2 linked regions of the Drosophila melanogaster genome follow. The protein of the gene in region 1 interacts with the protein of each later gene in a pairwise test. Each region holds a gene or a part of one and is shown in the gene's direction. Other genes may lie near its edges. The genes, in order: Gnptab and CG4367.

Region 1 (3,928 bases):
AACCGATGATGTAGGCGGTTTACTCGGCGGCGGCATTGATGGTGATAGTCTTGCCCTTGGGATCGTCGAAGCGGTCCATCGTGTTGATGTCCATCATCCAGCAGACGCCGACGAACATGATGACCAGCAGTAGGGCGACCACAAACAGTCCCATCAGGATACCGGGCGTCACGAAGCCCACACAGTCCCAGGAGTCGCCGAAGGGAAAGTCCTCCTTGTACGTACCATCGAAGGGAGCCTGCAGCTGCAGGGACTTGAAGCTCAGGGTGTTGTACATGTTGTTGACGGCCGCGGACTCGAGGGTGAGGTTGCCGCACGAGTAAGAGAACGTGGTTGGGGCATTCACGCCGCTGGAGCGGAAGTTGTTGTTGTCGTAGACCAAATTGCTCAGACTAAAGTATCCGCCATTATAAACAACGTCAAAGGTGATTGGCTTGTCGGCGACAGATGTGTCCATAACAACGGATAGCTTGGTAGAGCTAGAGTTGGTGAGCTTGAGGTCGGTGACGGTGATGGGGTTGCCGTTGTAGAGCAGGGCAGTGTAGAAGATCTGAAACTGATTGGTCGACTTCCACATGATGCCACCGGTTGTGGCGGCGGTGTCACGGCGGGTACGACGCTGCACCACAGGAGCCGTGGAGGGGGCGGCCAGGTACAGATAAGCCACCTTGCACTCGAACTGCTTGCTGATAGCAGCTATGGCGGCGTCTAAATGTGTTAAATCATTGTTAAATTAGTGTGTCTTATTGACGCCTTTGTAGTACGTTATTGTTGACCCACCATGTGACTCCAGACTGGCCTCCCGGCTCTCGGCGGCGTCCTCGAAGGTCACAAACAGGGCCGTACCTACGGCACACTTGGCCGGCGTGGTCAGCTTTCCACTGGCATCGATGGAGTTGTGCTCGCGCTTGGCGGCCACTGAGCGCAGTGCCTCCGAGGGGTTCTCCACGCTGGTGTAGTAGGTCTTGGGGCTCACTCCCTGCAGCTGGGCGTAGCAGGACTGCGCCTGGGAGTTGGAGCACAGGAAGTCCTTGCTGCTCAGCTGAGTTGGGGAACAAACACATGTGTCACAAGCCCTAGCTATCTAAGTGGGTTCTCAAGCACTTACGCCATTTTCCTCGAAGGCCACGACCATGTGATCTTCCAGCAATGCAGCCAACTGCTCGGCAAACTCCACTTGGGACACCGTCTTCAGGGAGGGTTTCGCCACACTGTGAAAAAAGGAGGAAGGCACTCGTTACACTCACATTCAACTGGTGCAGGCGCTCACCCACCTGTTGGCTCCCCACAAAAAGACGGGCGTTTGCTCCGCCACGGCAGCCCCAATGACGCACAACGCAATCAGCGATTTCCACAACATCGCGCTGGATTCGCTTACTTCGGTGGGGGTTTAATGGAAACAAAGGAGAACGAAAAATGCATAAGTAAGGAACCAAGGAGAACGCAAGAGGCACTAAAAACCAACCGAAAAGTGAACTGAAACTACAAACGAAAAATGGTGGTGAAAATTTTCGCTTTGCCTTGCTCGACGTCGCCTATTCCAGTGAGAAAAAAAACCTTATGACGGTCATGTGATGCGCACCAGCTGACCGCAGTGCTGTCTAAAAATACCAAAAGCGTGAGATTAGGAAAATACTAGAAAAAAATTATTCGACTCTGAGAGCATTTAGTAAAGCCTAATTGGATATTTGCACCAGGAACTGACATTAACTGGGTTTCTTTTCAAAATTAATACTTATAAGAAAGTATAGTTTGTCAAATAAGGTTCATATCTTCGGTGTCCAATTAGCGCAGTCACACACCTTTCCAGCTGGAAACTGTCAACGGAACCGGTTCCGTTAATTCCACATGTTGATTCTTTAAAACCCGTATGTTCTATTTCGCACTGCTTACTAATAGTTTAATTAAATATCTAAAGAAATTCGGGTTTTATACTGATTGCTTTTATAAGCTCGATTTGAACCGAGTTTTTATTTCAGTCTTTCCAGTTAGTAATTTTACGCAGTTCTAGCACGGCCACACTGTCCCGCAGGAAAACAATGTTTGTTATGATTTTACTGCGGGAATTGTGTGTGAAATGTGCCATTTGAGGACCTGAGAATGCGATTACGCCGCCGTTGGCCGCGAAGGATGCGGCGTGCCATGGAACAACTGCGTCTCCAGTCCCGCCGGAAGCTGCTGGCGCTCACGAGTGAGTTACCTTGCTCACCAGCCCCATTACTTAACTAATGTTCTTTTTTTTTCAATTTTAGTGACTGGAGGACTCTGCCTGGCTATCTGGGTAGTTGCCAACTATCTGTCCGCATCGGAGGAGGGCCAAACCGGCGGCTTCAGCAGCGCCTGCACTGCCATCGATGCGGTTTACACGTGGGTCAATGGCTCGGATCCCAACTTTATTGAGGACATCCGGCGATTCGATGACAAGTACGATCCCTCGCGGTTCGATGACAAGAATGAGCTGCGGTACTCTCTGAGGTCCCTGGAAAAACACGCCGCATGGATCAGGCATGTGTACATAGTAACCAATGGCCAGATTCCAAGTTGGCTGGATCTCAGCTACGAAAGGGTCACGGTGGTGCCCCACGAAGTCCTGGCTCCCGATCCCGACCAGCTGCCCACCTTCTCCAGCTCGGCCATCGAGACATTTCTGCACCGCATACCAAAGCTGTCCAAGAGGTTCCTCTACCTCAACGACGACATATTCCTGGGAGCTCCGCTGTATCCGGAGGACTTGTACACTGAAGCGGAGGGAGTTCGCGTGTACCAGGCATGGATGGTGCCCGGCTGCGCCTTGGATTGCCCCTGGACGTACATAGGTGATGGAGCTTGCGATCGGCACTGCAACATTGATGCGTGCCAATTTGATGGAGGCGACTGCAGTGAAACTGGGCCAGCGAGCGATGCCCACGTCATTCCACCAAGCAAAGAAGTGCTCGAGGTGCAGCCTGCCGCTGTTCCACAATCAAGAGTCCACCGATTTCCTCAGATGGGTCTCCAAAAGCTGTTCAGGCGCAGCTCTGCCAATTTTAAGGATGTTATGCGGCACCGCAATGTGTCCACACTCAAGGAACTACGTCGCATTGTGGAGCGTTTTAACAAGGCCAAACTCATGTCGCTGAACCCCGAACTGGAGACCTCCAGCTCCGAGCCACAGACAACTCAGCGCCACGGGCTGCGCAAGGAGGATTTTAAGTCTTCCACCGATATTTACTCTCACTCGCTGATTGCCACCAATATGTTGCTGAATAGAGCCTATGGCTTTAAGGCACGCCATGTCCTGGCGCACGTGGGCTTCCTAATTGACAAGGATATTGTGGAGGCCATGCAGCGACGTTTTCACCAGCAAATTCTGGACACTGCCCATCAGCGCTTCCGAGCCCCAACAGATTTGCAGTACGCATTCGCTTACTACTCCTTCCTAATGAGCGAAACCAAAGTAATGAGTGTAGAGGAAATCTTCGATGAGTTCGACACGGACGGTTCGGCCACCTGGTCGGATCGAGAGGTGCGAACCTTTCTCACTCGCATCTATCAGCCGCCACTTGACTGGTCTGCCATGCGCTACTTCGAGGAGGTGGTTCAAAACTGCACAAGAAATCTGGGCATGCATTTAAAAGTGGACACAGTCGAACACTCCACGCTGGTCTACGAGCGATACGAGGACTCTAATTTGGTTAGTACTTATGATTATATCTTACAGATTTATATTAATTGCTGACTGCTCTTTTAGCCTACAATAACCAGGGATTTGGTTGTCCGATGTCCACTTCTGGCCGAAGCTTTGGCGGCAAACTTTGCAGTCCGACCCAAATATAACTTCCATGTCAGCCCAAAAAGAACTTCGCACAGCAATTTTATGATGCTCACATCGAATCTCACGGAGGTGGTGGAGTCACTGGACCGATTGCGTCGGAATCCGCGCAAGTTT
Region 2 (3,408 bases), on another chromosome or scaffold:
CAGTCGTCCTGCCGGAGGGTCTTACCTGCTCTCACTGCGTCCTCCGCTGGACCTATGTGGGTGGTAAGTGGTGGCCAGAACGTAAATGGAACTTAAAGTGAAAATTAATTGAACATCTTGTGCATTTCAGCCAACAACTGGGGCATCTGCGATAATTCCGGAAACGGAGCCTTGGGCTGTGGCCCACAGGAAACATTCAAGAACTGCGCCGATGTGAGCATCTACTGGGGTCGCAACCTGGTCAAGGAATTGGTCGGTGGCGGAGATCCAGTGGCTCCGGTTGAGGTCGCCTGAAAATCCAGACTAAAATTCAACGAACTGCCATTTATGTCTGAAAATGCAAAATGCCAAATAGTCAGCTAAAGTTATTTAAATAAATGAGTGAACATTTACACATTAGTTAATTGGGTCCTTGGAGCTGCTTCCTATTTATAGAAATTTAGTTTTATTTACTGTTTAATTTTGAGATCTTATCCAATTTAGATACATTATTTAAACAGATGTTAGAGATAGACACATCATAACCAATATTTTTTAAGTCCAAAACTATGCAACAAATTGTATAAATCAGAATTTGTTAATGTTCTACGGCCTTCAGGTATACAGTATTTCTGCTAGGTTTTGACCTAAAAAGCAAGCAAAAAAAAATAATAGAAATTTGTTTATATATAATAACAATAATAGTGTGTAAATTGAAGGCGAAGTGGCTTTAAAGAACAGAATTACGTTACTTATAGTTCGATTCTTTTCATTGCAAATTTCAATATTTTGTTCGCTTTCACCTTGATTATTAATGCTTAATTGATGATTCTGAGAACACGTTGTATCGATAAAACAAAAGCATATAACCGCAAAAGTTGACCAAATAGATTGTGTTTATAGGGCAATTTAAATTTATGAAATCTGAAGATAGATATGCATCTTTTTTTGCAGTATGTGCTAAAATATATGTCTTATTTTGAGCCAAAGGGCCATGAAAAAGGAAAATAGTGGCTTCAAAGTACTCGCATGTTTTATCTGGAGGCATCATGGAATAATCGAAACTAAATAATTGCTGATTTATTAATATACGAGCAGCTTAATCCCTGAACTTAAACGTGGCCAATTTTTTTTAGCTGCGCGCAAGTGCTCTAAATTTGTTGTTTAAAAAAACATTTGCGTTTTTGGCTATTGTATGGACCGTACTACAATATATGATTGGCAGAAAAGTGCTGAAGTCAAAACCAACTAAAATAGTAAGTAATTGCACTTAAGAATCGTTGACCTTGGCTAACAAATTTTGCGAAATCGTGAGAATTTTTCCAAGCCTTTGAACTCCTATCAAAATGGCATTGGTGGGCTAAATAATAATAGCATAATAAAGCAGTCTTCCAAGTTATTATGATTAGGTTACCAAAAAATACGGGTATTGCTTAGATGTGTCATATGTGTTTTCACACTTTCCAGGTCAGATACAAGAAATTCTCCCAAATTCTAACTACCAATAACCATAAACGAAATTAAGATTGTGAGCCGATAAGATGCATTCACGGTTATTGGACGAAAAATCAAAAACAAACATAAACTGCCCGGCAACTGATAAGGTTTGGCAATATGGAACTATATAAGGCCACGACCAGTTCGTTTTGGCCACAAAGAAAGTGAAATCAATATGAATACGTATAAATTTATCCTGTTTCTTAGCATGGGTTTTTTAAACCGGATGGGTGAACTGGAGGGCCACGGTATGATGTTAAGTCCAACCGGAAGATCCTCGCGTTGGCGCTACGATAACTCGGCGCCAACAAACTACGATGACAATGCATTATATTGCGGTGGATTTTGGGTAGGAGTGCCTTAAAAAAATTCTATATTCATTTGATTCAATGATGTTCTTAACCCTTTAGAAACAAACCGAAAATGATGGCAAATGTGGACTGTGCGGAGACGACTGGAGCTTGGAGCAGCCGCGACCCAATGAGTTGGGTGGAAAATATGGCAGTGGAGTGATTGTAAAGAGCTTTGCCGGAGTAGATGAAGCGGAAATTAATGTTAAGATCACAGCCAATCATCTGGGCTACTTCCGCTTCCACATCTGCGATTTGGACGAAAATGGCAGCGAGTCGGAGGATTGCTTTAACCAATATCCTTTGAATTTCACCGACGGTAGCCAGAAGTACTACATTAACACCACCACTGGCGATATCCCAGTAACCGTGAAACTGCCCAGTGATCTCAACTGCATTCATTGCGTTTTGCGCTGGACTTACACGGCGGGAAATAATTGGGGTGTTTGTGAGGATGGGACGGGCGCCATGGGTTGTGGGGCGCAGGAAACCTTTATTAACTGCGCTGATATCAGTGTACTATCCTCAGCGAGAAGTATTATCCAGGAGGTGCCCGTGGAGGTGGCGGAATCGAAGTGAGGTGGTTATCATCAGCGGTGGCCAATCGAACAATACTGCTAGTCTCAATAAATTATGTAACTTATTTATTTCTAATTGTTCCAAATTGTTCATCAACAATACGATTTTGTTTTAAGAAAAGGTTATTTTATTACTTCAATTCTTCATTTATGTATTGATTTAACAATACTTGATAAAAAATGCACCTCAAAAAGTTCCATTTAACAATAAGACAATAATAGTTAAGTATTTACGAACCACCATAAATAAATGCCATTTTGAAAATTATGAATGTTTATTTCTGTTTTATTCAATAAATTAATCGTCGTATATATTATTTATACATATATATGAGTGTGTGTTTTGAGTGTGTGTGTGGATTGTTGGTGATGACCGTTCGTCTTTGAGGTGCAGGGCATCGCACTCCCTCCTCCTAAGATGGATCCTACTTATTAAATTCTTGATTCTGAAAGCCCTGTCTTAGACGTGTTCTTAACGATCGGATGAGATTTGCACGGTTGAGTGCTTAAATATTTGTTGTTTTTAAGCTATCCTGTTTATGTTCGTATTTGTATCTTGTATGTTATTTTAATATTCGTAATTTGTCTTAAGTTATTCGTGGCTTACAAAATATGTTTCACATTAACTGGCTTATTAGTTAACTTCACAAATAAGTTGTATGTATATATATATGCATTCTTTTCTTTTATATTTTACAAAGCCTTCAAAAGTCAATTGCAAACGATAAGTCGGTAAATTCACTACAAAACTCAAAAGTCGCGTTTTAAGAATATCTATTGGTTTACGTTTTCCTTTTAACAATTAACTAAACAAACCGCAAACAACAGTGTGTAATCTCGATTGCCACTAATGATGCCATCAATCTGATGTATTTAGATATATATTGAGCTCTATGTTTTGAGGAGAGTACAGATACGGCTTGAAATGCCCTCCTCGATTAAAAACTATAAAAAACACACTCTCCATTATCGTCAAAATGTGCGAATCGCTCACAACTGAATTA

The links.
Region 2: the proteins of Gnptab (region 1) and CG4367 interact in a two-hybrid assay, tested with the Drosophila melanogaster proteins (one large-scale study listed by BioGRID).

What each region holds. Positions count from the first base shown.
Region 1 is NT_033778.4:9,205,197-9,209,124, reverse strand, and holds the start of Gnptab (N-acetylglucosamine-1-phosphate transferase subunits alpha and beta), read left to right. Parts: upstream 1-2,000; 5' UTR 2,001-2,100; coding exon 2,101-2,191; intron 2,192-2,252; coding exon 2,253-3,673; intron 3,674-3,730; coding exon 3,731-3,928. Other genes in the region: VhaAC45 (vacuolar H[+] ATPase AC45 accessory subunit), read right to left, coding at 20-708, 781-1,042, 1,109-1,211, 1,275-1,360.
Region 2 is NT_033777.3:20,303,199-20,306,606, reverse strand, and holds CG4367 (uncharacterized protein), read left to right. Parts: upstream 1-1,629; 5' UTR 1,630-1,651; coding exon 1,652-1,825; intron 1,826-1,886; coding exon 1,887-2,405; 3' UTR 2,406-2,652; downstream 2,653-3,408. Other genes in the region: CG4362 (uncharacterized protein), read left to right, coding at 1-63, 131-294.